3 linked regions of the Saccharomyces cerevisiae S288C genome follow. Changing the gene in region 2 together with the main gene of any one other region gives a genetic interaction. Each region holds a gene or a part of one and is shown on either strand. Other genes may lie near its edges. The genes, in order: TAP42, BUD14 and SLU7.

Region 1 (10,727 bases), on a different chromosome or scaffold from region 2:
TGACCGCCTTGGCATTGAAATATCTGATAAAATATAACGTGTTTCGCCAACATACCTCCTTCCAAGAAGCTGTCAATAGTTTAAAGGGTTATAAAATTGAAAATAGTGTACAGATAGGCGCGGAAATTATCCTTGATTTTCTACAAGATAAAGTGCAAATTAAGGATGTAAATGACAGATACCAAATTCCCACACCTAATAATACCGTAGACCCAGGTTTTGATGAGTTTCAATTAATTGACATGAAGGATAAAGAAATCAATATTCAAAAATATAATAATAATACCATAAGAAAATTACTCGAGAAGATTAATCGAATGATAATATTCTTGAAAAATTATGATGCCACTGACAAGCCTTTCTCTTCCACGCAAGATGTAATACTTCGAAAAATATCAATGCTTGTAACACAACTGCAAAGAGGTGGAACAAGTGACATGAATTACCTGCTGGATAACAAAATTAATGAAATAAAATTATTAGAAATTTCGTGTAAACAATGGGAAATTTCAAATATGTTAAAAAAATAACTAGAATATATATATTACACAGAATTATTTTCTTCACTTCCTCCGTCATCAGATTAGTAGCTTCCTAATACCTGTCACAACTTCCCATTTATTCGTGTGTTTGTTGTATGTACAACCCAGCAGCTTTTTATTGGTAACGGGACAATGGCCTTCATTATTAACCAAATAGCTTATGGCACACGGGTAGCATGCCACGTATCCTGTTTCCAATACACAGGGGTTTTGTACAGTTTTTTCGCAAACGGGACAGGCCTCAGAAACTCCCTCTTTATCTTCCGTTTTGTCACTATGTGAGGAGAAAGGCGGCCTTGGAATATCTTCATCCAAGTCATTGACCCTTTTCTGCAATTTAGTAGTCATGTCTTGTGTGGTCCACCATTGGTACACTCTTAGGACAAATATAAAAGTGGGGAAGAATTGCGAACCCATAAATGTTAAAAATCTGGGTATAATCGATAATTGTCCTTGCATTAGCGCGAAAATTGACGATATATTTGTTTTCCTTAGCCTATTATCCATCCCTTTCGTCTCTTTGAGACCAGAGAGTTCTGACGATAGTGGTCTTACCGTTGTGTACTCTATCTTGAATAAGTATTGCAACAAGGAAACCGACCCTGTTCTTTTAGTTAAAAATAATAATTTAACGAGTAAATTGGATAACGCTAATAATTTCTTAATAAATGGATAAATTCTTAGAAACGCTCTCTTGGGCCATTTATTTTCAGTTTCATCGCTGCTGAATATATTATTCATTGATATTTTCTCTAATATTTCATCCAACTTCGCTGTGATATAGGGGAGAATAATTTTTTCCAAAAAAATAACACTCTTTTGCTGTTGATTCAGCTGCAAACCTTGGGGCCATTCACTCTGGCCCTTTGGATTTAAACATTGTGTTAAGGCAAGATTTCTGTCCCTCGAACTAAATAGTTGCAATCCATAAAACCGATCAATAAACGTAGAATTGTATGTCTTTAGATGATACCATTCAACAAACCCTTTTATCGCTTGAAACCACTCAAAAAAGTACTTGTTCAGCCGCAAAGTATACCTGTTAGGGAAGTTCGCCACTAAATGATTTGCCAGTAGATAACGGATGGATGCGGGCAGTAACGAATCGATTTCTTGTGATGACATTATCTCAAAGATAGTCGGATACAATGGTTCTAATCCCACCCCATTTCGACCGCTTGTTGAAGACCCTCGACTAGATTGTCCTGCAGACGGTAGGTTTGAATAAAAGCTCATCACTTGACGACTACCTTCCTTTCCTTTGCTTTATTTTCCCTGCTTATTCCCTTGCTTCTTCTGGAGCCTTCATGCAAAACCGTTTCTCTACCTAATGTGATTCTGCGGTAAGCATTGCTCTTAAGCATCTGAATGAGACGAAAGGATGACTCCACACTAAATTGTACCTCTCTTCTCCAGTGACTGAATTGGAGGTTACCATTGCCAGTGACGGTAATCGTCCACATCGATGATTTCTTAGTATAACCCACACACCTCTCAGACATAGAGGCCCCAGGTGCAACGTGATAGTATAACTGCCCGGAAGTAGAAATACAACTATTCCCTTCATATTAAAAGAATAAAACTTCATTTGAACTCTTTAAAATTTAGTGGTTCATTGTGGTCCTTGTGTAAACGGAAAAAAAGGATATTACGGTAGTGGGTAGTACATAACAAGAGATGACTATCCCTGGAAGATTTATGACAATTGATAAGGGCACTTTTGGTGAATACACTGCTAGCACCCGTTGGCCCATTATCATTCAGAATGCTATAGACGATTTAAGTAAGCATCAAGAAACGGAGAAGAGTAACGGCACTAAGTTCGAACAAGGTGAAGTTATCAAAAAGGAGCTCAAGGAATTCCGTCAGGAGATAATTGATCGTGTACCTTTGAGACCCTTTACTGAAGAAGAGATCAAAATTGCCAACGTCCCGCTTTCGTTCAATGAATATCTAAAGAAACACCCTGAAGTCAATTGGGGGGCTGTAGAGTGGCTGTTCTCGGAGGTTTACTTGTATAGAAGAGTAAATGTTCTTTTCCAACGCCAATGCGAATGGGCTAAATTTGACATATTCAACAGACTTAAACAGTCAACTTTTGAGTCCTCGTTTTATGGTGTCGTGGAATTGGCGTTAAGGTATGAAAATCTGTTACCACAGCTGAGAGAAATGAAGCAAAATCCAGGAAATGAGATTGACGATATATTGAAAGTTCTTTTTAAAGAGTTTATTGAGATTTCTTTGTGGGGCAATGCCACTGATTTATCTTTATTGACCAACGCTACGTTAGAAGACATTAAATCAATCCAAGGGGCGAAAGCAAGAGCTGCATCCGAGTCCAAGATTGTTGTTAATGACACGGAGAAAGCATGGGAGGTATTAACCAAAGCCAGGGCCGATGCCAATAGCAGAGAAATTCGTGTTGATTTTGTATTAGACAATTCTGGCTTTGAATTGTATGCTGACTTGATGTTGGCAGCTTTTCTGTTACAAAGTGGTTTGGCTACCAAATGTATTTTCCACGCTAAAGACATTCCATACATGGTTAGCGATGTTATGTTAAAAGATTTTGATATATTAGTTCATGACCTGAGAGATCGTGAGTTCTTCCCAAGTGGTGAACCCTCGACAAAGGAATCCAGAGCTCTTGATTTATTTGCTGGTGAAATGGAAAAGTTCGTCTCTAGCGGTAAGATAGAATTCCGCGAAGATTCTTTCTGGACCACGGAATTAGATTATTGGAATTTGGACGCAAACGAAACCAAATACCATGGATCCATTTTGCACAAAGATTTGCAAAAATCCAATTTGGTTATTTTTAAGGGTGATCTAAACTATAGAAAATTAACTGGCGACAGAAAATGGCCCCGCACCACTAAATGGGAAACGGCTATCGGACCTCTTGCTACGAATGGTATTACATCATTGAGCTTGAGAACCTGTAAAGCCGATGTACAAGTTGCTTTACCTGAAGGTCTAGACGCGAAATTAAGTCAAGAATGGGAAAAGGAAAATCCTGGCCGTGGTTCTTGGTGGTGTTGTAGCGGTAAATGGGCAGTCATTTGTTTCTGCTCTGGTATACATAAATAAGAATATGATAAGTTCTCTATATAACTTTACTTTATGACTTTCCCTATGAAATGTTCCAAAAAAGCACATAGATTTTTAGTACGTGCCTTTTATTTTATGTACTTCTGATAAAAAAAAGAAAGCTCCTAAGGACAAATTACAATCAATGGCGAAAGAAGAGGAAGAAAGTAATAACGAGGAGAGATCATAAACATGGCGTCAGTAACAGAACAATTCAACGATATTATTAGCTTATACTCAACAAAATTGGAACACACATCTTTGAGGCAAGATTCACCAGAGTACCAGGGATTATTACTTTCCACGATCAAGAAATTATTAAACTTAAAAACAGCAATTTTTGACAGGTTGGCATTGTTCAGTACTAATGAGACCATTGATGATGTGTCTACTGCTTCCATCAAATTTCTAGCAGTTGATTACTATTTAGGATTATTGATATCAAGACGACAGTCGAATGATTCGGATGTTGCTCAAAGGCAGTCTATGAAATTGATTTACCTGAAAAAAAGCGTTGAATCTTTCATTAATTTCCTGACACTATTGCAGGATTATAAGCTTCTAGATCCTTTGGTTGGTGAAAAACTAGGTAACTTCAAGGATCGTTATAACCCTCAGCTTAGCGAATTGTACGCGCAACCAAAAAATAACAAAGATTTATCTGGAGCACAGTTGAAGAGAAAAGAAAAGATTGAGCTATTCCAGCGCAATAAAGAAATTAGCACAAAACTGCACTGCTTGGAGTTGGAATTAAAAAACAACGACGAGGACCACGACCATGATGAATTACTAAGAGAACTATATTTGATGAGGTTACATCACTTTAGTCTTGATACGATTAACAACATTGAACAGAATTTATTTGAATGTGAAATGCTCTCTAATTTCCTCAAAAATTCCGTACATGAAGTCAAATCATCAGGTACTCAGATACGAAAAGAATCGAATGATGATGATTCCACTGGTTTTACCGATAAATTAGAGAATATAAATAAGCCATTGATAGACAAAAAAGGTCAAGTCTTGAGGAACTTCACGCTTGTCGACAAAAGGCAACAACTGCAACAAAAAGTGCGAGGATATGGTCAATATGGACCAACAATGTCGGTGGAGGAATTTTTAGATAAAGAGTTTGAAGAAGGTCGCGTTCTTCAAGGTGGCGAAGAACCAGAGCAAGCACCAGATGAAGAAAACATGGACTGGCAAGATAGAGAAACCTATAAAGCTCGTGAGTGGGACGAGTTCAAGGAAAGTCATGCTAAGGGAAGCGGAAATACCATGAATAGAGGATAGAAAAAAATACCTATATACGTACACATAAGTATCTATTAGACAGATTCATATATTATTTTTTTTTCTGCCTACATCAGTTATATTTTAATCTTGTGCAAAAGGACTTCGTTATTTTTATTCACGGTGATTAACACCGGCGTAGAATCTACAATCAGATTTGAAGAAAATACCACAGGCTCTTTTCTTTCCGAGAAGTTGATGTCTGCTACGACAAATTCGTCGATGGATGGTTTTAGGTTTTCTAAATTCCTAAACTCAAAGTCTCCATTACTATATGATACGGTGATTATGCTGTCGTTCAAATCGAGTTGTATTGGTAGTGTTGACGATGGAGTCAATTGTTCCTTCAGTACAACTTTTTTCTTATCAAAAGAATAAACCAATAATCTCTCATTGCTTAGCTGAATCAGTAGCTTAGAAGTTTTTCTATCCAAAAATAAATGGTAACCTTCTTCTTCTGGCTTACCCGATAATATTGTATCAATCTTCAAATCAATTTTTTGTAGAAGCTTACCCTCGAAATCATATATGGTAAGCTGGTATGGATTTGAAGACAGTAATATTAAGGATTTTTCTGTTATACCCAATATACAATCCAGAATGTTTGTGGAATCATTACTATCATCGTCATCATTATCATGTGTTATTTCATATGTTTCTTTTATGTTAATTGGGACATCCTCAGGAGCCTCTATATTGTCCAATTCCCAGATTCTAATTTGAGATTTATTCTTACTAGCTATCAACAACCATTTATTTTTGAAGTCTATATTAATGATATCACTAGACGAAAACGGCTGTTCTGAGTCTTGTAATAGGTCCACATCTGAGATCAAAGATGCGCTAGAAATAGAGAACAATTTCAAATGGAAACTCTTTTCAATAACAAGGAGTTTGGACGTCGAAACCCAGAAAAATTTCATAATGTCGCTATCTTGCCCTAAAGATATTTTCTTTAAGAGTTTGGAATTCAAGTTTGCGTCCACTTGGTGTATTTCTAACGATTTGGTGTCTGCATCATAAAGTGCCATACAGTCCCCGTAGGAGCTGATAATGTCGACTTTCGACAATTCCGAGTGTATCTTGGATATTGTTTCATTATTTTCACGCTTGTTGGCTGTGCTAAACAAAGATTTCACTTTGGTTGGTGATGGTGACTCTGAAGGACCTTGCTTTGGATTGGGTTTGGTGTCCAAGAGGGCATTATTTAAAATATCCATCCCATTTGTCTTCGCACTGCCCTCTTCCTTGGGAGTATTCACGTTCAGTTTCTCTAAATCGTGCAATTCAGAACCCGCTTCTCTGCTATTTAATGACTCTAACTGATTGACCGTGTTAGGGCCTTTCAACAAATAAATTATTTCCTTCACATTTTCTTGAACAGCTAGCTTAGACTGCAGTAATGAATCAGGCACATGTTTTTCTTCCTTTTCACCTTCAGGAGAAACAGCTTTCGATTGTATTTGATTCAATTGATGCTTCAAATCTCTATTTTCGCCCTCTAGTTCTGCAATTCTTGCTTTCATTTCCGACCTTTCTAGCTCCCAGGTGATTCTATCTCTTTCATTCTTCGTGAACTCCGTTTGCAAGTAGTGCATTACACCAGGTAACGTGTAATGCGGATGAACATGTGCCTGGTTAATAGCCATATTGTTTTCCGGTCTAACTACACGCACTTACTTCTTTTGGGTTTCTTTATTAATGTTGTTGCTTGCTCCTCACATTTAGTCGTTCTAGGTGGCTTTTATCTAAGATTACGCGACGGGGAAGATCGCAAAGTTAAGACCAATAGAGTACTATACCATATCCCAACAAAGAAGCCTAGGGGATGGTGCAGCAGTAAAAACTGAATAGACTATAATAGATCATCCTACGTAAAACCCGAATAGGTTATCTCTTAAACCTTGTTTTCCTGTAAAGTTGTCCCGCGCATGTGAAGACGCAGAGAGTGGAGATCAATCTTAAAACAACTGAAGCAACTAGCACTTTCTTGACATTTAATAAGGAACTATTATCGCGTAAACCAAAAGAAACGCATGTAAAACATCTGCAAGTTACTCCATCATCTGACACCTAGAGACGTACGTATCAGAACGATTTGAGTGGAGGGGTACAAAAAGGGACTCTGTAGATCAAAAACTGTAATATTATCCTTTTTTTTACTTTCTGAGAAGCTATTCGAAAACAAGGAGATAGAACTACAAGCAGTTATGAAGGACCTAAATCCAGAAATGGGGAAATTTGCTACCACTAAAGGCCCTCCTCAAGACAATAGAGGCATGGTTGATATAGCGACACTGCCTAATTTTCCTGCCAACCGTAGTGGGACTCCTCGTGAGGAGATGTATCTGGCGCCCAACAAGATGGAAACTCCAAGGATACTTAATATGAATATGGTACCGGATTATTTGCAAAAAGAGAACTTCTCGCCAGATTTTTCTTCTGCTACCGTATCTGCCAAGTCATCTCCTGTCAACGTTACTCATGATGAGTCGCTTCCTCTGGGAACTATTGAATCGAATAGCACAAAGGATTCTAAATATGCAGTTCAACGGCAACAGCAACAAGTGGTAGATTTCATAGAGAATAATATGCAGCTACTGTCTTCAGAAACACTAAATTTTAGATCAGACATTATGAAAACTTTGGAGCTTCCCATTCCCAAGAGAAGAGATATTAAGGGAAACCATCTATCTAAACTATTATTTGCTAAATCACCTCTAACTATCAACACATATTGCCAATTTTATGACCGTAGAACCAAGCGAATTTGCAATCAAGAAATGATATGGAAAGATAAGAACAGTAGAGAGAAGCATGGTTCTAGAAAGTATCAAAGACATTTGAGTAAAGTTCACGATGTCCAGCTAACACCAAATAATTTTACCGAATTTTTTGATCATAATTCTCCACTTTTCCAGGAATGCTATGACTATCAATCTAGATTGATGCGTGATTTACTTGTTGAACCAGATGCCAAATTCAAAGAGAAGAAAAAGAAGAAAAAAGGGGACGTCAACGGAAATCATCCTGAAACCGGATCGAGCCTCATCAACCACCAGGTCCAACAGCAAAATGTTCGAGAACTTCAATCGAAAATAGCCATGAACGACTTGATAGAGATTCTTATCGATTTAAACATTCCGTTTTCTGTTTTAGACTACCAACCAATGAGAAATTGGCTCATCAAATATTCAATAATTTCAACAGATACTTTGCCGGATGAAGTATACTTCAAAACTGATCCAGGCGTGAATGAACTGGAACACAACAGTAGTAATTTAAACAATAGCAATAGCGGTACTCCTCATAATCATAATCAAAACCAACATACCAATTAATTAAAACTTGCTTTTAATCTGCATACATAAAACTTAGATCAAATAAATAAAAAAAAAAGTAAAACAACCATATATACTATTTCATAAGCAAAAGTAATCAAATTAAACAAAAAAAAGAAAATACAAATATTAAATTTAAATTAAGGCAATAAACATATATTATACACATAAAAAGAATAATTAAAGCGCAGATGAGAACTATCTTAATTATCAAAATTCTGTAGTATCCCACTCAACTGTTCAATATCTTAGCCGCACCATTTCTTCGTTATCTAGGCTCACTAGCAATTATTTTTTCTCTTGATTACTAATTGCATCCTGATCGTCTTCGATCGAAGAACCCTGTGAAAAGCCACTAAATGTATGTTCCAAACTATCAGGGCTAACTCCCAATGATTTATTGTTTCCTGCTTTCTGTGAAACCGAGATTTCTTTTGAATGCTCCGCTGATTTACAATCATTAGCGTCTTCTTTTCCACTTGATTTATTTCCGATCGAAATTTTTTCTTCAGGTTCCTTTGTTTGAACAGCAGAACTAGTTTCGGTAGCTTCTTTTGCGGCAGTACTCACCGGAACCCCATCACCACCTGAATTTTTCGTTTCGGCTCCCACTATCTCTTCCTTCTTTAGTTCATCACCTTCCTCTATTTTTTCAAGTTGGGTTGGTAAATCTTCAACATTTTTCTCGACGGATTTGTTTTGTGTTAAATACTCCTCAGAAGTCATACCAATCAATTTTTTAACCTTCTCTTCGTCAATCTTATCATCGCCACGTGCAGAAGCAACATCTTTCATAGCTTCCAACAAATTTAGTTTTTCCTTCTTTAACTCGATTTCGGTCGCGTTCAACTCGCTCTTACGTTCGTTAATCAACGAATCCACTTCCAATTGCTTCAGACGGGCCTCCTTGGTTGATAACTCAGCCTGCTCTTTAGCCTTATTAGCAAGAATAATAACGTCATCATTCAAATGGGATTCCAAGCTTTCTTTAGTTTGACCTAGTTCCAGTAATTTGTCATCCTCTCTGATATTTCTATTCTTCTGGGCGTCAAGATCATTTCCGTAACCAGAGATCTTTCTTTTATGGTCAACTATAGCATCCTGCAATCTTGAGATTTCTGCGTTAATTTCATCGCGCTCTTCCACTAAAGTTTTGTGTTCCGCTTCTGCATTTGCCAGATCGTCATGGTAAGGTTTCAATAGTTCTTCTTGCTCTTTGCGCGCTTCAGTGATATCTTGTTCACATTTCTTACCCCATTCCTCCAAATCTTGATCTAGACGAGCTTTTTCGTCCTTTAACTCTTGCTGCATTTGCTTTTTAAATTCGATCTCTTTGCTCTTGGTATCTTCAAGCAGAGTTTCCCTTTCAGCGACTTTGGTATCCATTCTGGCCACAAGTGCATCAAAGCTGGCTTTAATCTTTTCCTGGGAGGTCTTTTTTTCGGTTTGATGCCTATTAGCCGTAGTAGTCAATACTTTGGCGTCATTAGAAATGATAGAACGTTCCATCGTTTCCCATTCATTTGATGATTTATTATAGGCCTCAGTTCTTTCTGCAATTTCTTCATCCATAGCACGTTGCGCCTCCGCCCTCTCACTCACTTCACCAAGTACAGGAGAAATCAATCCGGATGCGATTTTAGTGATATCTTCTGGTGACAAAAACAGGCCACCACCCATGTTAATCTTGTTATGGAATTCTGTCTTTTTCTGATGATTAGACTGTGCGACAGCGACAGCAGCTTTGTTGTATTCCATATTAGTGAATAGCTTTCTATGCATATCGCTTTTTTCAATGATATCCAATTGTCTGTCAACATTGGCTCTTGCCAAAGTCAAAACTTGCTGAGAAGTTAATTGGCTCAGATAGGTTTCCCTCTTCTGCGCCTTAAGAGCTATACTTTTGTCGATATCCTCACCAGGATGCATGTCTTTCACAGCATTAGCAGCTCCTAATGCAAATTTCATCGACTTGGCTTCTTTCTCAGCAGAAACTTTTTTGACCTTTTGTAAATCTTGTGCTTTTGGAGCATCAACTTTCGCCATAATGTTATTCATCATCTCATTGGAGAAACTGAATTGATTTAAATTACCATGCTCATCAGTCTTGACGCCGTATTGGAAGTTCGTCTTTTCCGGTTCCCATCTTTCCTTAATACGAGATTCTGCCTTTTTTTCAGCACCCACTAAGACTTTCTCCAAATTCAAAGTCTTTGGTTTAGGATTAACAGTACTGTTGAAACTGCCACTCGCGCCGCTTAACACAGAGCTGGCAGAGGTGATAGAATATGACCTGCTGTTTGTTTGAGAGCTTAAACTTGTAGTTTCCATTGTCATCGAATAAGCTTTCGATGCGGCGGCCCCTGGAGATTCTTTGGACTTTCTCTTCGTCTGAGATTCTTTTGAAGTTTTAGAAGTAGCAGAAGTTATTGAGTTGTTACGTACAACTTTGGGTCCCATT
Region 2 (10,727 bases):
TTAGATGTCGATGACGTGTGTAGCGTAAAAATTTATATTCGCCAGATAGACCTCTCATAATTAATTGGCATGCGACCTTGTTATTGATATGAATGCCATTATTGTTCAGTCTGTCGATAATGTTTGTGACTTTTGTTTCAAATGCATCTGCAGGTGTACTGCCATTATATTGCAAATTTGCCAGGGTCACAATGTCGTTTGCCTCTTGGGTATCAGATTGCATTTTTTCAATACTTTTGGAAAGAATTTTCATGATATCCGTATAATCAACGGATAGGATGTCTTTGACCCAGGTAGGTAGGAATTGAGAGGGAGCAAATATTTGAAAAGTGTTATACAAGAAGGTGAGTTCATCATCAGTGATCTGACGTACGGGTTTTCCGTTTACTGTCGGAATAATACCACCGAGATTCGAGTTTTGTAAAAATTTGATGTATGTTTTAACCCAATTTGGAAAGTCATTAGGTGAGGTTAACATTGGTGGTGGTCTGACATATTTTTTAGTGGATGTCATATCAGAGTCCGCTGAGGATGAATCAGTAAATGTATTACCTGACTCAGGTGATGGAGTGCTCAGAGGCGTTCCAACTGATGATGGATACTGCGGAAACTGTGATTGTGGCCCAGGTGGAAAGTACATAGGCGACATTTGATAAGGTGTATACGGAATCATAGATGGGTGTCCGTAAAATGACCAACCAGATGGATTGGCTTGGTTTTGGGTCATCATGCACTGCTGTGGGTACGGCCCATTCTGTGGTGAATGTGACTGAGCAGTTTGAGGAGAGGCATGATGGGGGTTCTCTGGAACAGCTGATGAAGCAGGTGTTGTTGTCTGTTGAGAGTTAGCCTTAGTGGAAGCCTTCTCACATTCTTCTGTTTTGGAAGCTGAAACGTCTAACGGATCTTGATTTGTGTGGACTTCCTTAGAAGTAACCGAAGCACAGGCGCTACCATGAGAAATGGGTGAATGTTGAGATAATTGTTGGGATTCCATTGTTGATAAAGGCTATAATATTAGGTATACAGAATATACTAGAAGTTCTCCTCGAGGATATAGGAATCCTCAAAATGGAATCTATATTTCTACATACTAATATTACGATTATTCCTCATTCCGTTTTATATGTTTATATTCATTGATCCTATTACATTATCAATCCTTGCGTTTCAGCTTCCACTAATTTAGATGACTATTTCTCATCATTTGCGTCATCTTCTAACACCGTATATGATAATATACTAGTAATGTAAATACTAGTTAGTAGATGATAGTTGATTTCTATTCCAACAGGTTCTTATTTTCAACAATGTAATTGATGGCCTTAAATCTCTACTACATCATAAAGCTTCTAAGCACTTACCATTCCTTCATAAGTCTAGTATTGTAATGAGTTGGGCACATGGCGCAGTTGGTAGCGCGCTTCCCTTGCAAGGAAGAGGTCATCGGTTCGATTCCGGTTGCGTCCAAATTTTTTTGTTAATCCAACACAATTGAATTCGTGAATAGCTGACTGTCATCAGTAATGTTCGTGGAAAGTACCTATCCATACTGTTGTATCACGACTAAGTAGTTGTCGACTACTACCTCCTCAACCCCAGTTATATCCCTATGACACATTGGAGGATGCTGAATAATGACAGAATTTTATTCCTCCTTTTCATTATCATAATCTGAAGCAAAGTTAAAAAATAGAAGAAGTAAGATAAACTTTGTAGATACGATATATAGTTGTTTGTTTTAGCTATCATATATGCTGAACTGTTACTACCTTATTTTTTCCGAAATGTTTCTAAAACAAATAAATATTCATGAATATGATGCAAGTTCGTTGGATGAGAAAAAGACCAGGCTTTATTGTAAGGACAATATCATTTACGAATAATTTCATCCAATTGTTTCATCAACACATCCATTCTGTCAAAAACTGGAGCATAGAGATGTTGAACCAAAGAATTGGGCTTCGAAGCCGGATCGGACATATTGGTATTAGACAATGCCCTTGATCCGGAAAGTGAACTATTTATGCTTGCTGATGATACCGCCCTTTGTTCATCCATATAAAAATCTTCTTCAGATGATGAGTGTAACGATAAGGTTGATTGCTTTTCTTCTTCGGGGGTACTGTGATGTTTTTCTAGCTCCTCTTTAGGTTGTTCTGCGTCAGTTTGATTTGCCATTCCTCCACTAGACCCCAAGCTGGCTTGAATTTGCCCCTCTGTGTTTTCCACGTTTGTTGTCTCTTCAATTTTCGATTTTGCATGAATATATTGTGAAATGTCCTTTATTGCTCTAGATGATGGAATACTGCTGCTTTCTTCAACTATTGGAGTGGATGGTGATTCGTTTGTCCATTCTGACGACGACGGTGAAAACTCGCCAATTGTTGAAAGGGAATTTTGAGAGTCTGATTTTGCCATACCATTCGCAAATGGCATACGAGGCGCTTCAAATACTTTTTTCAGATCGGTATCGTAATCACTGTCAACCGGTTCAGACTTTTCTTGCCCCACATACCGATTTGCATTATAATCATCTTCTCTGTCTTTACTCGATGATGTCTTAGGCTCACTTTCGTTTTTGTTGTCTTGTCTCCGAACTTTTTTCACATTTAGTGGTGTATTCAAAGATGTACTAAAGGAGACGTCGCTCACTACATCGCTCGTATCATCATCCTGGAATTTGCCAAAATTTAACTTCGCTTCAGTGTATTCGTCCCGGTGCGTTACTTTTGTTTCCTTGTCGTTATCAACATCATCGTCGTACGACTGTCCATTGCCTTCACCGCCATCATCGTTACTATCTAACGAGGTATCTTCAATTGCATCATCTATAAACCTGTCTGCATAACCGACAACATCATTGAAACTAACAGATTTGTTCCCCTTACCATATCCATTCAGTGCAGGTGTCGGAATTATACTCTCTGCATCACTTTGATTCTTGTTACCAGAGCTGATGGAATCATCTTTCGAATCGGAGGAAGCAACCGATTGAGAAGACATGTTTTCATTTTTCCAGCAATTCAATCGAGCTAGTCTTTCTGGAAAGGTTTCTAGAATTTCCGCTGGCGCAAACCCGATTTTACCATCAGTGATCCTCTTAACCAGCCACCAATAGGCATCCTGGTCATTCAAAAGTATACAAGGTTCGTCTTGCCCTAATTGACAATGTGAAGAATCATGGCCATTGAACGCATATAAAGCATATAGTTTATCAGGGTCCAGTTCTCTTGGCGGCGATAAGGGTTGGTAATCGTCGTTTTCCTCCTCCAAATCGTCTTTCTCCCCTTGAAACCCTGAATCTTGAAATTTTCTGTCAAAGTCATCGTCATCAGAGTAGTTTTCCTCTTCATCCTCGTCCTCCGAGATGGCGTATTTCAAGCCATCACTAAAATCGTCAACGTCAGGGTTCATTGTATTATTCACTGAAAAATGCACCTCATCCTTATCGGCGCTATCCACGGAATCAGTTTCGATCTCTTGTAGCCTTCTTTCCAAATTGTCCTCAAATTCAGAATCCGAATAATCATATGAGTCGGGCAATTCCGAAGAATTTTCTTTGTAATGTCGCTGATCCCTTTTACTGTTGCTATGCATATGTTTTTCCACGTTCTCCTCCTCTAACTCTTTGTCATCATCTCTATTTCGCAGAACATCATGGCCCTTTTCTGCCGCATTACTCAGTATATTAAGTTTCGAATTGAAGGGCGAACTCTTATTCGAAGTCGGAGTCACCACAACACTTCCGCCCATACTCTCCGAATCCTCGTTTCCTAAAGTAAGTTTACTTCCACTTGTAGGCCTATTATTAATGATATCTGAATAATCCTCTATTAGGGTTGGATCATTCAGTAGCGCGTGCGATTGAAAGGAGTCCATGCCCGACGTCGACGTGATTAGCGAAGGCGCGTAACCATTGTCATGTCTAGCAGCTATAGAACTAACCTCCTTGACACCACTTGCGGAAGTCTCATCAACATGCTCTTCCTTATTACTCATTCTCTTACCAAGCAGAGAATGTTATCTAAAAACTACGTGTATTTCACCTCTTTCTCGACTTGAACACGTCCAACTCCTTAAGTACTACCACAGCCAGGAAAGAATGGATCCAGTTCTACACGATAGCAAAGCAGAAAACACAACCAGCGTACCCCTGTAGAAGCTTCTTTGTTTACAGCACTTGATCCATGTAGCCATACTCGAAATTTCAACTCATCTGAAACTTTTCCTGAAGGTTGAAAAAGAATGCCATAAGGGTCACCCGAAGCTTATTCACGAGTCAGTCTGACTCTTGCGAGAGATGAGGATGTAATAATACTAATCTCGAAGATGCCATCTAATACATATAGACATACATATATATATATATACATTCTATATATTCTTACCCAGATTCTTTGAGGTAAGACGGTTGGGTTTTATCTTTTGCAGTTGGTACTATTAAGAACAATCGAATCATAAGCATTGCTTACAAAGAATACACATACGAAATATTAACGATAATGTCAATTACGAAGACTGAACTGGACGGTATATTGCCATTGGTGGCCAGAGGTAAAGTTAGAGACATATATGAGGTAGACGCTGGTACGTTGCTGTTTGTTGCTACGGATCGTATCTCTGCATATGACGTTATTATGGAAAACAGCATTCCTGAAAAGGGGATCCTATTGACCAAACTGTCAGAGTTCTGGTTCAAGTTCCTGTCCAACGATGTTCGTAATCATTTGGTCGACATCGCCCCAGGTAAGACTATTTTCGATTATCTACCTGCAAAATTGAGCGAACCAAAGTACAAAACGCAACTAGAAGACCGCTCTCTATTGGTTCACAAACATAAACTAATTCCATTGGAAGTAATTGTCAGAGGCTACATCACCGGATCTGCTTGGAAAGAGTACGTAAAAACAGGTACTGTGCATGGTTTGAAACAACCTCAAGGACTTAAAGAATCTCAAGAGTTCCCAGAACCAATCTTCACCCCATCGACCAAGGCTGAACAAGGTGAACATGACGAAAACATCTCTCCTGCCCAGGCCGCTGAGCTGGTGGGTGAAGATTTGTCACGTAGAGTGGCAGAACTGGCTGTAAAACTGTACTCCAAGTGCAAAGATTATGCTAAGGAGAAGGGCATCATCATCGCAGACACTAAATTCGAATTCGGTATTGACGAAAAGACCAATGAAATTATTCTAGTGGACGAGGTGCTAACGCCAGACTCCTCTAGATTCTGGAACGGTGCCTCTTATAAGGTAGGAGAATCCCAAGATTCTTACGATAAGCAATTTTTAAGAGACTGGCTTACTGCTAATAAGTTGAACGGTGTTAACGGCGTCAAAATGCCCCAAGACATTGTCGACAGGACAAGGGCCAAATATATAGAGGCTTATGAAACATTGACAGGGTCTAAATGGTCTCACTAACGTGATTTACATATACTACAAGTCGCCAGTGTAACTCCTCACTGAATATGATTCATACATACCCGTATGTATTAATGTATAAATGTTCTCAGAGCAAATTTTATCGATATCTTGTTTGCCAGTGGTATGCAGGTTTGGCAAATTTTTTACCATAATATCCGTTTATAGATTCTGGAACCTTACCAACTTTCTTACCGCTAATTACTTCCCTGGCTCGCTCCTCCACTGCCTGGGTAAATTGTTCCTTCAACTGACTCAGTTCTCTTTCGTATTCAATAGCTTGCTTCTCGAGGATTTTTTCAATGTTTGTCAGCTCATTTTCATAGTCCAGTAACTTCCTTTCAAATCTCTCTAATTGCAACGACTTTCTTGCAGTTCGTATCTGAATATCTTGCAGTAATTCAAAAGTGGAAGGCCTGGTTCTTAAGTTCACATCTATCATTGAATGTATTATGGCATTAAGCCCTCTAGAGTAATACTCAGGGACGGTGTCACATTTCCCGTTTTTAATCTTAGTTTGTAGCTCGAGATAATTTTTTGCCTGAAATGGGGGGTGCAACGAACACATCTCAAAAATAACACAACCTAGTGACCAGATGTCGGATAGTGGGGAGTATGGTTGGTCCATCAACACTTCAGGCGACATGTAATATGGTGTACCGACGTATGTTGTGGCAAATTGAATACTAGTTTCCAGAGATTTGGCTAACCCAAAATCACCTAACTTTACCACAACTTGACTATAGTCCATAGGGCTCCCCCTTTTCCCTGAATTCACTCTATGGTCTCTGTAATAATTACTATTCACTTCCTCGTGACCGTCTACTTGTTCATTAATATTGTAATCGCTATCATCATAGCTTAAGAATATATTTCCTGGTTTCAGATCACGATGGATAACGATGTTTTTGCCTTTTACCGGTGGTTTCATCCGGTCATATATTGTGGTCAAAGTTGGCAATTCAACACCATAATGACATTTATAGAGCGCAGTCAATAATTGGGCCAGGATACCCCACACAATTTTTTCTGGTATATATTTATGCTCCTGTTTGTAGTGCTTAATCATCTGGGATAAATCACCCCTGGAACAATATTCCATATAAAGGTATAACACTTCTTTTTGTTCATCGAAGTCCCAGTTATAAAATTCTACAATATTTTCATGCTTCAACTGCGATAGAATGCTACATTCAGCGATCAGCTGTTGTCTCTCTTTGCTATTCATATGGCCATATTTGATATCCTTTCTAACCAAAAGTTTCTTGGTAGGTATATGGATGACTTTTCGTACAGACCCAAATGAACCTCTCCCAATTTCTTCGAGAACTTGGTATTCTGACCTTGGTGGGTGTCCCTGCTGCTGCTGAGGACTACGGTATTCTTGGAAAAACTGTCGTCTATGCATACTCACACAGAGAATTGATTCAATTATCAAATAGCACTCTCATTGAAATTAGTATTGTGAATCTTGCTCTTTTCATGTTATATGATTTGATATTCTTTTGAAAAGTCGCTTTTATTTACGTTTAACCTAATTAGGAAACGTAATGAAAAAATTCAGAAACCTTAAAAAAAAAACTTGGCTGTAACCTATCGGAAGACTGTGCCACTGCAATCATGTCAGATATCGTATTTCAGATTTATTGATCTATAGCTAGAAACATTTAACAAAATGCACTTTGAGTCGTTCATACATTTAATCCCCAATTGAAAAAAAAAAGAAAAGAAAAAAAGCATATATATGTATATGCTTTTTTATCATTACTGGCCTCTTTAAATTCAAAAACTTTTCTGATCTCTTTTCCAAACAGATGCGTTTTCAGTATTGGAAGGTTCACAATTCTATATATAGTGTTAATGTAATGCTGTATTATTTCTCTATATATGTATGTATGCACATGCAATTCCTACATTATGTTTGAAATGTTGTAATGGGGACGGAAAAGCCGTCACTTTTATCTTTGGAGGATCGCAAATTACTACGCTCATCTTTTGTTGGAGAACTACCAATTGCTGCAGTGACGCTTGAAACTTTTTGCAGGCTTCCTTTTTTTGATAATGAACGGATATCCTCACATAGCTGACAGATCAAAACTGAGTCCCCCCCAACTTGATTTGAATTCCTTTTTGGGACATCCTTGTTCCAGTTGTTGTTTAAAAACTCCGTTATTTGTACTAAAATGGCACGAAGTTTGAAAACAGTGGCCTTATTACGACGATTTGGTTCGGTTTGCTTTATAGGATCCGGCTGTCCTGTGTAGTCATATAGCTTCAATAACGATTTTGAGAATATTAGCTTTATGAATTTCAATAGATCGATTTGAATAAGTAAACTGTTGAAATAGGTATCAAAGAAAGAAACAATCTTTTCATAAAAGTTCGGGTGAAATATGATATTAATTGTAAGGTTTTCAAAACCGGGCAATGAGCATATCTTCGTGAAAATGCTAATTAGTTTACTGAGGTTAACGTCATCGTCATTCAATGCATAAAACAGGTCAACTAATTGATCAATCGGTAATTCAATAGCAGCGTCATTGTTGACCTTTATGAGGAAAACACTATGAGACTCTGATGAGCCCACTGTAGGAGCCACATCATCATTTACATTGCGTAACGTAAAATGCAAGCAGTTCAGTATGATCTCCAGTCCACTTATGGAGGTGTTATTCTTTTTTCTGATGAAATTCATAGCTGTAGAAAATAAAGAAGCACTCATTTGGTCCATATCCAAACTCATTTCAACGCATATAGCAGTGATTTGTTTCCAAATGAAAGCTGCTGTCTTTGCGTCGTCGATAAAGGGAATGATGGTATCAATATTCCGGATAAAAGCAAAAAAAGCATCGTTGTCAAGCAGATCATTTAAAAAAGTGCTGTTTATATGTACTGTAAGGTAACAAAGCTTGGTGAAGTACTTTAAAACAGATAAATCTTTGATTTGGGCCATGTCAACAAAAAAAGATGTTAGCCAGGTAAAGAAACCCTCCGGTAATTCAATTAGTAGTCTTGATTTTGAAGATATGGTCAGATGGGGAAAGTTTGAAATGCTCTTGTGTCGCATTGGAGAAGAGGGACGCGTTGCCATCAAAGAATGAACAGGGGACCTTGATGGAGACTGTACCGAATTCACTGGTGAGTTCCTCGTGGGTGAGGAGGATAACGGTAGAGAGGAAGAAGAAGGAATAGCGGACTTGTGTATTTTATCGTCATTCGTGGTTATCATATAGTTTATTGATTTGAAGACTACGTAAGTAATTTGAGGACTGATTAAAATTTTCTTTTTTAGCTTAGAGTCAATTAAAGAGGGCAAAATTTTCTCAAAAGACCATGGTGCATATGACGATAGCTTTAGTAGTATGGATTGGGCTCTTCTTTCATGGATGTTATTCAGAAGGAGTGATATATCGAGGTGTTTGAAACACCAGCGACACCAGAAGGCTGTGGATGTTAAATCGTAGAACCTATAGACGAGTTCTAAAATATACTTTGGGGTTTTCAGCGATGCAAAATTCGGAGGATACATTATTCCACATTCAATTAAAGTCTGAGGGTAGTCGATGACGAACTCTTTGGCTAAATGTTCGAATTTAATGATCAGTGGAATTCCTCCCATAGCGATGAATTTCAGTCGCAACCTAGAGTGGTTATGCTGGGTATCGTAAACAAAAATGGAGCCAAATGCAGTTATTAATCGTTTATCAACAGTTGTGCGCGACAGACACTCGATAATTGTATCAGCGATGTTCTCGAGGGAGCAAACACTGAAAAGCACATGCAAGTCCGTCAAAGGCTTAGATGAACTCTTCAATTGGCTCAGCAATTGACTTTCAGTGGGGGGCATTAAATCTAGTTCTTGATTGTTTTCTGCCCAGGCAGCGGGAGCCGCTGCAAGACTGAATTTAGAGGGTGATATATTTAGTTTCTCTTCTTGAAAATCGGCATCCCAATGATAATCAGCGTCGGTAAAGTCCTCCTTGAACTTGTTGAGCTTGTCGACCTTCACATTTTCGGTAGAGTTGATCCACACATGCTTGAGTAACTGGTCGGCTGTCGGCCTCTTGTACATGTTTTTCACAAAGCATTTAGATAAGAAATCCTTTAGTGGCTCAGAGAAAGAGCTAGGTGGGTAGTAGGTATCATTTTCAACAGCGTAGTAGATATTGGCGTCTGTCAAATTGTGGTAGGGTGGATTCTTTGTGAGCATTTCAACTACAGTGGCACCTAGAGACCAAATGTCGCTGAGCGTAGAAGCTCCCCTGTTGCCCAGGATCTCTGGAGCCATCCAATTGAGTGTGCCCGCTAGCGTTAAGGCGCTGGAGTTCACAATAGTGGAAACGCCAAAATCAGCAAGTTTGACAGTGTTATCAGCACTCAGCAGGATGTTAGCCGCCTTGATGTCCCTGTGGATGACTCCTTCACCGTGTAAATATTTCAGCCCCAATAGTGTCTGTGTCACATAGGTTTTCGATTCATTTTCACTTAATCCGGTAGAGCTCCTTGAAATGAGCCTCCTCAAAGAACCATTAGCGCAGTATTCGAGGAGGATATACAATTCATAGCTTTTTCGTATGAAGCCGTGGTATTTAACAATATTGTTATGGTTTAAATTTTTTAACAAGCTAATTTCTGCCATAATGTCATTAAGTTCCTCATCATTTTCGTACACGACCTCCTTTATTGCCACGACTTGGTCAGTATGTTTATTAATGGCTTTGTAAACTACCCCGTAAGAACCCCTCCCAATGACCTGCTTCAAGTGGTATTGCACGGATTTCTCAGATGCCCTCTGGATGGGAGTCAAGTTGACTCTATCGGTATCGGCCATACTGTTCATGGTATAGTCTTACCAGGAAAATGGGTAGTGCTTATGTGTGTTTTGTCCTTCCTCGAGCCTCCAAGTAGAAGATATACCTTTTGTGAGGCAGATCTCCCGTATACAAAAATAACAGCAAGAAAAGCGGAAAGACCATCGCAAGGTGGAAAGGATTATAATGGCACAGCAAAGTCCGCACAGAGCACTACAGTATAGCATAGAGTGCTAATGAGTTGATAGGCCCAATTTTGATTATGCCTCTTTTCCATACACGACGCCAGAGGACATTATTACATTACAGTAGTTCGCCGCTAGATGACAAACGACATCCTTACCGATATGAGATGTGCAAAGCTACATAATGGCAACAAGCGTTATGAACAGCCTTGTCTTTACGACCACAGAAAAGCCGTATTAGAGCTCTTCAGCTGCAAAATTTTCTTCTAATATGATGCAAAGCCATCAAAAATCATGCATAGTTA
Region 3 (10,727 bases), on a different chromosome or scaffold from region 2:
CTCATCTGCAGTGCTATTGTCCTTAGGATCAAAATATAATCCATGCAATTCACCTAATTCATTGGCTAAACGTTGCTGAGGTCTAGGACGGTCACTGAACCACATTGCATAGTAAAGACCCTTCCAAAGTTTATTGAATTCTATTTGTTTGTTCTCCTTGAACTGTTTAGCGGTTAGATATTTCTTTAACGCTTCGAGTGCATTTACCCTGGTTTTTCTGTTGTTCGACGATAATTGTTTAACAAAGTTGGAGGTCTCCATTGTGAATGTTCTCACTCGATTTTTTAAGTGTCTATTTAGTGTATTATGCCGTGAATGCGCAAGATATATACGTATACTTAAGAATGTAGTTTATATTTGACAATTTTTTTCAGCTCATCGCATTTTTTTTTCTAAATTCTTTACCTCTCGTGCTCCGTGACTAGGATATTGGAAATTCAAATGATATAACTTAACCATATAAATCTTTTAAGTGGTTCCGTTGTTCCTCAGATTGCTTTGTACCATCTACTTTCCTAGCTTCCAGATCTCCAATGCTGACAATCTTGGGCTGCTTGGTTTCTTCTTGTTCCCGTTTTTTCTTCAGATATTCATATTTAGTAGGATTGGCGACTAAAACATGTTGTACTTTTTCCTTATCCTCAATTTCATCACGTATACCCATTTCCTTAGCGTGAGATCTAGCAAACTGGTTCAATTCGTTTAATTTTAGGCCTTCACCTGTCAAATGTCTGCGGAACATTTTTGATTTTTCATCAACTGCGCCCAGTGTTTCAGTTTTGTACAATCTTGATTTAGGATCATAATTACTCTCCGTTGAATTTATGTCGTTCAAGTAAGCAGCCTTATCTTCTCTCAATCTCGTTGATGTCCTATACAACTGAGAATTATCAGCATCATCTTTCTTCAATGAACCTACGGAATCCTTGTAAAGTTCTAACTTCATTAGTTCTATCTCTTCATCTGTATCCCATAGTGTTTCATCAGTTTGGGATTTGTCTTTTCCTTTTATTTTATTTCTTTTATCACGCTCCCACTTACTTATCAGTTCATTGTATTCTTTCCCTGAGTAACCGTACCATCTATCTTTTCTGGAGTCCCAGTCATCATCAGTAGCTCGTACTAAAACTGTGCCATTATTTTTTTGTGAATTTAAATCGGGAACAAGCTTCTGCATCTTACGAGGTTTTTCCATGCAGTCTTTCTCCTTATGCCCTGCTTCCCCACAATTCCTACAAAATGACAGCGAATGAGAATCTCGGACGGACATCTTCTGGGGTCTGATTAGTTTGAACTCATCCTTTATACCCATACCAATTTTTGGTTCTGAATTATTGTCAATATCTAAAGCACCCCCTTTTGCTTTTTGCCTATGATGCACCAAGTAGTCGCTTTTTTCTCCTCCTTCTGCAGTGCTCGTATCATCATTGCCGGGCTTCTTCCCTTCTTGTTCTTTGGGGGTATCCTTATAGTACCATGGTTGATTTCTAATATACCTGGGGATATGAATATTTTCATTTTTTTCTTTTGCTTGTTGTAGTTGCCTTTTATTTCTGTTAATAGTGCTTCGATTTTCGTTGTTTCTGCTGTTATTATTCATTATGTAATCCGATCGTTGTATTTCAGTGTAACTGGTATCTTTTTCAGAAGTGCTCGATAAATGATATACGCAGACTTGATTATTGATTTACTTGAAAGGCAAGCTATTCAATAGATAACGAAGGAGTTATCGTTATGGGTACTATTATTGTCTTTCCGCGTTCGAACTAGTCACTAGTTGTTCCAATGAAATGTACTTTAAAAAAACTCGACAACTTCTCCAATTAAATTGAAGAGTACGGCAGCTGAGGTTACCAACTCTTTTCTATATTTTAATTGTCACTAGGTATAAAAATCAAAAGTCTAGAAAAATGTATAAAAAATCTTCCCCGCCAGGACTTGAACCTGGAATCTTCTGGTTCGTAGCCAGACGCCGTGACCATTGGGCCACGAGGAACAAGATTTCTTGAAGTTATTGAAATACGGGATTTGCTGATACCAGAATTAATAAATTCAGACCGACTTCTCTTGTGGGGTGGTAATCATCATTTAAAGTGTGGTATCCTGCTTAGCCCGGACAAAGAAGTTATTTTAAAGATTTATTTGCCAATCTTCACAACTGCCCTGTTGTATCTATATATTATTCTGTTGAAACAAAGTTTTAATATAGTCTACTAACTAGTATTCCCGCATTTCTCATATTCCTTTGAAAATACCAACTATCGCTTATTTTACCAGCAGTTAATTAACTAAAACGTTCTCATGGGGATGGACACCAGTTAAAGAATCAATAGAACCTTTTTCAAATCTCCATATGGAGCGGCCTCAATGAGTAGCAACGAGGGAAATAATTACTTGCTTCGGCTGCATTCAGTGATTAGTTAAAAAGTCGTCACCCTAAGTTTTTCTGTCGTATTTTAGGCATTTTCATTTTGAGGAAATATCGTATACCTGGTAATTGCCTATATTTTGAGATGAAGACTGTTTCTCATTTCTTTTTGGTCATCTCCTTGCAGAGCATTTGATAATATAGTAGTAATAATGAATTGTAGTCGATAAATGTTAGTTGATTCTCATTCCTATCGTATCGATAAGGAAACCTGAGAAATACCAAGGTTCAACGATAATGGCAAACATGCTTCATTAATCGGTATTCTTGATCAAATACTTCCTTGCCTGCCATACGGCATCCCTTAATCGCAAAATAGTAATATTCTTTCCAACTATATAACCGTTATTTTAACACACATTTCTCAAGAGACCCCTTTCTAGAAATGGCATGGAGTGGCAAGTATCTTCAAGCTATTTTTTAGTTGTTCATGTACTCCATAGAGTGACGGTTCTTGCAATTTCAACTAGTTTCAAGATAGTCATAAAAATTTGCAACCGAGCCCATTACTATATATATATATATACAAAAAATTTTAACATTAAACCTTGAGCTCGGGTTTTATCTCATACCAAGTATTATCAACCTTTGGCCGGTGTGTTCCTAATATGGTATCGATTTTCAAGTATACCGTGTAACATTTGGTTTTTGAATTATCCAGGGGTATTGCAAGGAATATCGTGGATCCTGCCATATGAAGGCGTGGATCTTAATTTATTCACCTTTACTGATCGTACCAAACGAAGTAAGCGTAGAAAGCTAACCAATTTCCTCTTGTTACAGAGAGAAAACTTTTCTTGTACAGTAAACTGAATATGCTACGTCGTAGACTTACAATGACGCCGCACTTAGGGATAGTAGTTACCTTGCTCACTTTACTGTCGTGATCATTACACCCGTACGTAATCGATGATCATTGCAGGAGAGGGGCACTTTGGTCTGACATCACTTTTTTTACCTAATCAAATAGATTGGCTTTTATTTGACAGATAAGGTTTATGATCTCTTTTTTCGAATGGAAAGTTCCATGCAGGCACCCTTTATCTCATTGTATTTAAACTACATATAGAATGGATGGAAACGTGGCAAGTCATATCAGGACGCTTTGAAGACTGATAATTAAAAACATTAAACAAGTTTCCAGATATCAGGAAGCGACCAAGCCAATATTCAGAACTTTCGTTTCGAAAAACACAGTAATATATTATTCTCAAAAATTACCACACTTTTTTTAGGCAAGGCTGCAAAATAATACCAGAAAAGCAGAGGCGGTTCTTAACTTCTGTGTAAATTCAGTGCAGGAGGACGGGTGTTGTGTTATTAACTTGCAAGGAAAAGAAAGTTTGTGTCTCCCCTTGTTCTACGCTAGCGAAATGGGTGTGTGGAAGAGTCAAAACTGAACCAAGAAAAAAAAAAAAAAAAAAACAAAACAGATAAAAAGATAAACAAAGGCAAGATCAAAAAGCCCTATCGTGAACGCTATCAAAGGACTTTTAAAATTCATAAATTAATAGTTCGTCCGTTGCCCTCTTGAATATAATAGAGATAGAGTTTAATACTTGCTTTTTACCTTTGCTTTTTTTTTGTATATCTCCATCTCAGCCCTAGGTAAGGATAGATACGAAGGGTTGTACAATCATGAAATTTGAAGATCGCATATTGAATAAATCAATCCCTGAATGGAAATTCTACAATATTAACTATGAGAAGTTAAAAGTAGCCATAAAAAAAGTAACGGCTTATGATTATGACAATCCAAATGATTCGGGCATGGAGAAGTTGTTGAATCAATGTTCAGTAGCCTTTGACCAGGAATTTCAAAATGTTAATTTATTTGTTTCTTTGAAAATAAAGGAAATTTCCACTCGTATTCTTTCTGTGGAATCATCAATAATCGATTTTTCAAAGGGCTTAAACAAAACTTCCAGAAACCGTTTCAACCTTCGTAAACTGAAAATCATCAACGCTCATGTAGACGATTGTAACTTTGAACTACAACTACTGTCAAGGTTTTTGATAATACAAAGGATTGCCTTGAGAAAGTTATTCAAAAAATTACTAAATGAATTTCCTCAAGACAGTGAAAATCCATTGACTGCAAGTGAGTATGTTACGTCGATCAGAAACTCTGAAAGTTTACGAAATGGACACGAAGGCATATCATTTATGAAGCTTGATTTAGATCCATATCTTTTAGAAGTTTCGCTAATTGTTGATGTTTTACATGATTTGGAAAATAAACTTGAAGATGCAACTGAGCCAGCAGTGGAGCAAAGATCCCTAAACCGCTCCGATGAATCTGCCCATACAAGTTCAAGTCCAGAAGCCAACAATTCTTCCTTGCCAGCATCTCCAAGGTCAATTCCGCTACTTTCAAACAAGAAAACTTCAAAAATGATTGATTCTTCGCTAGAATTCGATACTGCCCTCATAGATAAAGCAGAGAATCTAGGAAGGTTTTTATTATCGTCCGAGGACATAGAGGGACTGAAGTTCATGCTATTGAATATTGGTTTTAGGATAATTGACGATAGCATCATATCCACTTCAAAGGAGATTTTAGACACTACAGATAATATTAATTCTGCGGGCAACAAATCTATAAGATCAGCAAAGTCATTCAATGACTTACAACATACCTTATCCCTATCTAAACAGAAGAACATATTACCCTCTGCTGTACAATCCAATGAGAAGTACGTTTCTATTAGTATACTAGATACTGTCGGGAACGAAGGCAGTCCTTTACTACTTACTGATGATAATATAAATCAGCACCCAAACATGATAGTCAGCTCTACTGCTGAGGATACTTGTATAGTAATGTGCCACGTGGGCGGCTTAAGAAATCATGTTGTCACAAATGATCTGCTTCTAAGGGATGTAAAGAATATTCTTTCGGCCATGAGGAGTGGCAACGACACAAAAAATATTAGCGCTCTCATAAACTCACTGGATCCATCGCCAATCAGTAAGATCGCTTTGGAGTGGATTCAGTCCCATCGATTAAAAACCATTGAACCAAAGCTAGATTTTAAAAGAACAAGATTCATATCAGCAGACAATGGAGATATATACTTGATAGCTTTGGATGAATCTATCACTATTGGAAATGTATCTACATTACCCTTTCCAATTTTAGAAATTAAAAAGCTTAGTCGATCCAGTGGTCTTTCACAGACGGCTATTAATGAAGACAATAAGTTTAAACAGTTAATGAAATCAGTTGTTACAAATGAGTTTCAATGCAGCTTAATACCACCAGACTTAACCACATGGAAAATATGTTTAGAATTAGTACACTCAAATGAATTGCAAAATGATTTATTTCAACTTTTACTAAGAGATCAATATAAATTAAATTCCGATGATTCGCTATCACCTGATGAATTTTTCCAGCTGGGCAAGGATCGTCTAGAGGAAGAGTTTGACCTGACTGGGCCGATAAACAACTCACAAGGTAGTGTTGACAGCGGCAGAAGAGTTCGAATTCACAAAAAATCAAAGCAATCGGATAATGAAACTAAAAAGAAACCTATTAGGTATTGGAATGAATTTGATGAACAAGAAGAGGATAATTTAGACAATGCTTTTTACATTGATACTAATGGAAGCAGGAGTACAACAGATAACGAAGAATCCTTACTTTTGAGAAATTCTCCGCCTGATTATGGGTTTATTTTGTTTAGCCGGAATTTCATCAACCGCACATATGATTTTTGTGAGAAGTTACGAAACTTGATTCGCCATGACAAGAAAACATCGCCAGATTTGTTTCAAAACTCTAAGCATCCGCATTGTTCATCAACTAACTATGGTTCTGTTGCGTCATTTGGTTCACAATCAACTTCAGCGTCATATGATGACGTTCAAAGGTACTTACAGTATCAACAGCAAGACATAGAGGACTCACAATCTATCTACGAATATAGGCATGACGAAGTTGTTACATTTTTATACTTGTCTGCACTGCTAACATCTTGCATTATGGCAAGTGTATGTCTGGGAATCGTTTTATCCTTGTTTCGCGGGCAAAGTAATAATGAGATAGATTTAGAAATTCAAAATATTCTCATAGCCATTATTATCATTTCCTTACTGGTTTCCCTTATTTTGATCTGTGCGTGCCTGTTGTTGTTATTTAGTCGGTTCACTTTGGCGCCAATCTGGCATTATGTTGGTTGCTTCACAATGTTTTTCTCAGTTACTGGAACAGTGTGCTATGGTATGATTGAAATTTTCTTTTAATTATTTTGGACGATAAAAGTTTTTCATGTGTACAGTCTATATAAAATATGCATATCATGTGGTTACATAAGAAGAATGTTAATCTTGTTTGGAGATTTTGTTTTTGGAAACTTCGCCATTGCGAAGGGTGTTGCAAACTGAATTTCTGTTTAAGTTTTTAATTAATAATCCTTATTTTGATCTTTTCTGATGGCCGTGTTTGAACGCATAGTATTGTGAATATAAGCGAAGTGAAAACCTTTACACCTGCGGCAGATGCCATATTACTGCGCTAGTGGTGAATATTATTAAGCGTGCTATCAAAAAGAGATGAAAACGTGCTAACTAAAAAGGACTCAGATTCGTTACACACTTAGCCTCGAATAACGATCAGGATCTGTTCTAACCACAACTCCATGGACAGCATGCAATGTTTGGGCTCTTGATAACGTCCCCCCATCAGTACTATCGTATATATTAAAATCGTCTGCAAAGCTCGAAGCATCGTCGGGGATTGAACAGTTATCCAGGTTATAGTTAGTAACATTTCGGTCACTCTTGCTAATATCTTGTTCGATTTTTTCATCGGGTTCTTCCTTTTGAGCTTGGCCACTTTCTTCGTCAAAAGTATTGCCTTTAGCTAGGAATCTAAACCTACACCACCATATGAAATGAGACGCGAAAATTCCTAACTCCATTCCAGCAACTATTGAGTATAATATAATACCCATAATATCCATATTACCTAGGATAACACTGATGATAGATAGCCAAGCACCTAATGAATCGATGAATAAGAAGGCAAAGTTGATGCCAATAACACGACCTTTCCTTTTGGCTAGTTCAAAGTAAGGTGGAAGCAGTCCGACAGCTAACAAAACAGATGCAGAAATACCAAAAATCAGATCGGGCCATTTAACACCCTTCTCGTAAAGGGGCCTCAGCCATAATATAAAGCCAACTTCCATGCCAACATCAGCCGCAATAATAGCAGCTACAATCATTACTATTTTGGATCTCGCCATACTGATTGGTGGATAATAACACGATTGGACGAAACTTATAGAACAGAAGAACATAAAAAGGTGTGGTTGAACTTGTAAAATGACATTACCTTTACTAACACAGAAATATATGGCAAATGGAATTCCGGAAACAACCCAGAGGAACATCATCAGTGGTGGCAGCCCCGTACAGTCCTTTTTTTTCCAATTATATATTATTTGCGGAATTAGCTGGACACACCAGCAAACTGTTGCTATAGTAGCTAAAGCGGTAGCAGCCTTTTCAGAGATCATGAATACCTTATTCTTAAATCTATGTTATGTTATAGTATTCCACAGTTTATATTTCAGCGGTTAATTTGAAAATAGAGATCAGCGGAAAGTAGAAGGCACCAGAAGGAAAGCATTATTTATATGAGTTTCGTTTGGTACGAGAAGTGTGATACAGAGGTAATCTACCTATCTAGTCATTGAAAAATGCTATCAAGAAACGGCGTTCTCATATTACCCGAAGCACCTTATCTGGCGCTCACACCGCGGAAATAATTGGGTGATATTTTAGACAAACGGACTTTAATGTCATGCTAAGATAAACGTTCAGTAATGCAGCAAATGCTTATCATGACGACTCGTTTACAAGGTAAATTCGATTACGAAGAAGGTGCGGACAAAATAACGATTAATTAAAATACAATAGGTATATAAAATAAATAGAGAATAAATATAGTGTAGTTGCTTTACAGAAAAATGAAATAAACTGGAGTACGGATCACCGAAGAGGAGGTTGTTCACTTTCAGGTTATGATGTAATGAAGGTGGGAAGTTAGAAATGTATTAGTTGGCGTATATCTAGAAATAAACAACCCGATGCTTGGGAAGGAACTCAATGTAATATAATACTCATTTTGTTTTGCAAAAACATTATAACTCTTAATTATTTCTCCACATTTCTAAACCCAAAAATAAAACAATCGTCCTCTTGGTTCTCCGAATCCCAAGATGCTTAAATACCGGTGTTATCCAAGAAAAAGTAGTTTCCTGATGATTTTTGTTCTTTATCCATTTGGGAATCTAGCTTATTAATTCTTGGTCTGAAGGAGTTTGGATCCCTTCTGAAGGTGACATTCAAATTCTTCAAAAATCTGTTACAACCAGTCAACAAAGATTCAGGGGCTCTTGCGTGAGCATTCTTGGAAGGAATACCTTCAAAAACAATGACCTTATCAGCAAGATAAGTAGCCATGATGAAATCGTGCTCGACAATAAACGCAGTTTTCTTATTATGTAAGATGAATCTTCTGATAACTTTAGAACAGATAATACGTTGTTCGGAATCTAAGTAGGCAGATGGCTCATCAATCAAGTATATGTCTGCTGGGATACCCAATGCCAAGACGATGGCGACTCTTTGTAATTCACCACCAGACAAATGTTGGACTTCTTGATCAATAATATCGTCAATCCTTAAAGGTTTAACGACATCAGTCTGAAACTGTGGATTTAGGAATTGTCCTCTAATTTTCTTGAAAAACAATTGTCTGACAGTACCTGGGAACTTTGGTGCAATTTTTTGTGGTTTCATAGAAACATTCAATTTTGGAATATCTTGTCCTTCATCTGGCTTCAAAGCACCAGCTAGTAATTTGATCAAAGTGGTCTTACCGGTACCGTTTTCACCCATCATAACAAGGATTTCGGAATCGGAGAATTCACCTTCTTCAACATTCAAAACAAAATCACCTTGAGTTTTCTTCAAACTTGGGTAAGAGAAGGCGCGACTAGCAGAGTCATTCTGCAAGTCTTCGGTAGCATCAGCTATTCTAAATTGTAAAGCTTCAGTTCTGAATCTCAGGTTTTCAGCAGGAATATGACCGTCCAAGAATATGTTGATACCTTCTCTGACAGAGGCTGGTAATGTAACAACACCGTAAACAGATGGAACACCATATATGATACAAACGAAATCGGAAAGATAATCCAAAACTGACAAATCGTGCTCAACACAAATAACGTATTTAGTTGGAGCTAGTAAAGATCTAATAATTTGAGCGGCATTCAAACGTTGCTTAACATCCAAATAAGATGAAGGTTCATCGAACATATAAACATCAGCCTCTTGAACACATGACATACCAATGGCAAATCTTTGCAGTTCACCACCAGATAACTTTTCAATATCTCTTTTCAAAACGTTTTCCAACTGTAAAATTTTGATGTAGCGTTTCACATCTTCAGGACTTTTTTCCATTCTCAATTTCAAAAGTTCGCCAACTTTTTGAACCGGACCTTTAATAGCACGAGGAATGTTATCAACATATTGAGGTTTGATTATAGCCTTGATATCATCTTCCAGCATCTTGGTGAAGTAATTTTGTAATTCAGAACCACGGAAATATTTAATAATTTCCTGCCATTCAGGAGGATCATCAAAACGACCTAAATTAGGTTTTTGTTTACCGGCTAAGATTTTCAAGGCGGTAGACTTACCAATACCGTTGGTACCGACTAAACCAAGGACTTGACCCGGTCTTGGTGTTGGCAATCTGTGCAGTTTGAAACTATTGGCAGAGTAACGGTGAGTTACATGGGCTTCTAAATTAGTTGGCAAATTGATAATTTGAATAGCATCAAATGGACATTTCTTAACGCAAATACCACAACCAATACACAAGATTTCGGAAATGAATGCGATTTTTGAAGTTGGAGTGACTTCAATACATAATTTACCAGTTTTCACAACGGGACACGAACGTTTACACTCTTGACGACACTTTTTTGGTTTACATTTATCAGCGCTAACGATAGCGATACGACTGTTTTTATCACTCATTATGGTCTGTCGTGTTTTCTTAAGAACTTTTGCAGAAGGCTAGGTGGAATTCGCGCTGAAACAGATCACAATGAAGATCTAAGAATACAGAAACAATAAAGGTTAATGCCCAGTTTTACATTTTTTTTTTTTCACTTTCACTTTGCTAGCGAGCGATGCGATTGAGAAAAAAAATAGAAAATTTTTTCAGTTGCAAAACTACCCGGCTAGAAATCTGGTTCGATGCACACGAGTAACA

The links.
Region 1: mutations in BUD14 (region 2) and TAP42 together harm fitness more than expected from each alone (negative genetic interaction), as found in Saccharomyces cerevisiae (3 studies listed by BioGRID).
Region 3: mutations in BUD14 (region 2) and SLU7 together harm fitness more than expected from each alone (negative genetic interaction), as found in Saccharomyces cerevisiae (2 studies listed by BioGRID).

Annotation. Positions count from the first base shown.
Region 1 is NC_001145.3:323,658-334,384, forward strand, and holds TAP42 (Tap42p), read left to right. Parts: upstream 1-3,824; coding exon 3,825-4,925; downstream 4,926-10,727. Other genes in the region: CSI1 (Csi1p), read left to right, coding at 1-530; PEX12 (ubiquitin-protein ligase peroxin 12), read right to left, coding at 579-1,778; YMR027W (putative methyltransferase), read left to right, coding at 2,220-3,632; FAR8 (Far8p), read right to left, coding at 5,003-6,574; RSF1 (Rsf1p), read left to right, coding at 7,136-8,266; EIS1 (Eis1p), read right to left, coding at 8,555-10,727. UniProt on the Saccharomyces cerevisiae protein: Involved in negative regulation of the TOR signaling pathway in response to type of available nitrogen source. Inhibitor of PP2A phosphatase SIT4, which results in inhibition of nuclear export of MSN2, due to lack of dephosphorylation by SIT4.
Region 2 is NC_001133.9:164,870-175,596, forward strand, and holds BUD14 (protein phosphatase regulator BUD14), read right to left. Parts: upstream 4,003-10,727; coding exon 1,873-4,002; downstream 1-1,872. Other genes in the region: YAR010C (gag protein), read right to left, coding at 1-997; ADE1 (phosphoribosylaminoimidazolesuccinocarboxamide synthase), read left to right, coding at 4,506-5,426; serine/threonine protein kinase KIN3, read right to left, coding at 5,527-6,834; serine/threonine protein kinase CDC15, read right to left, coding at 7,342-10,266. UniProt on the Saccharomyces cerevisiae protein: Important for bud site selection. Seems to be a regulatory subunit of the BUD14-GLC7 type-I phosphatase complex. The BUD14-GLC7 complex is necessary to regulate microtubule dynamics at the cortex and may function as a specific activator of the dynein complex.
Region 3 is NC_001136.10:618,046-628,772, forward strand, and holds SLU7 (mRNA splicing protein SLU7), read right to left. Parts: upstream 1,601-10,727; coding exon 452-1,600; downstream 1-451. Other genes in the region: RRP1 (Rrp1p), read right to left, coding at 1-261; VTC5 (Vtc5p), read left to right, coding at 4,067-6,676; ILT1 (Ilt1p), read right to left, coding at 7,021-7,953; RLI1 (Fe-S cluster-binding ribosome biosynthesis protein), read right to left, coding at 8,663-10,489. UniProt on the Saccharomyces cerevisiae protein: Essential protein involved in the second catalytic step of pre-mRNA splicing. Involved in the selection of 3'-type splice sites; this selection could be done via a 3'-splice site-binding factor, PRP16.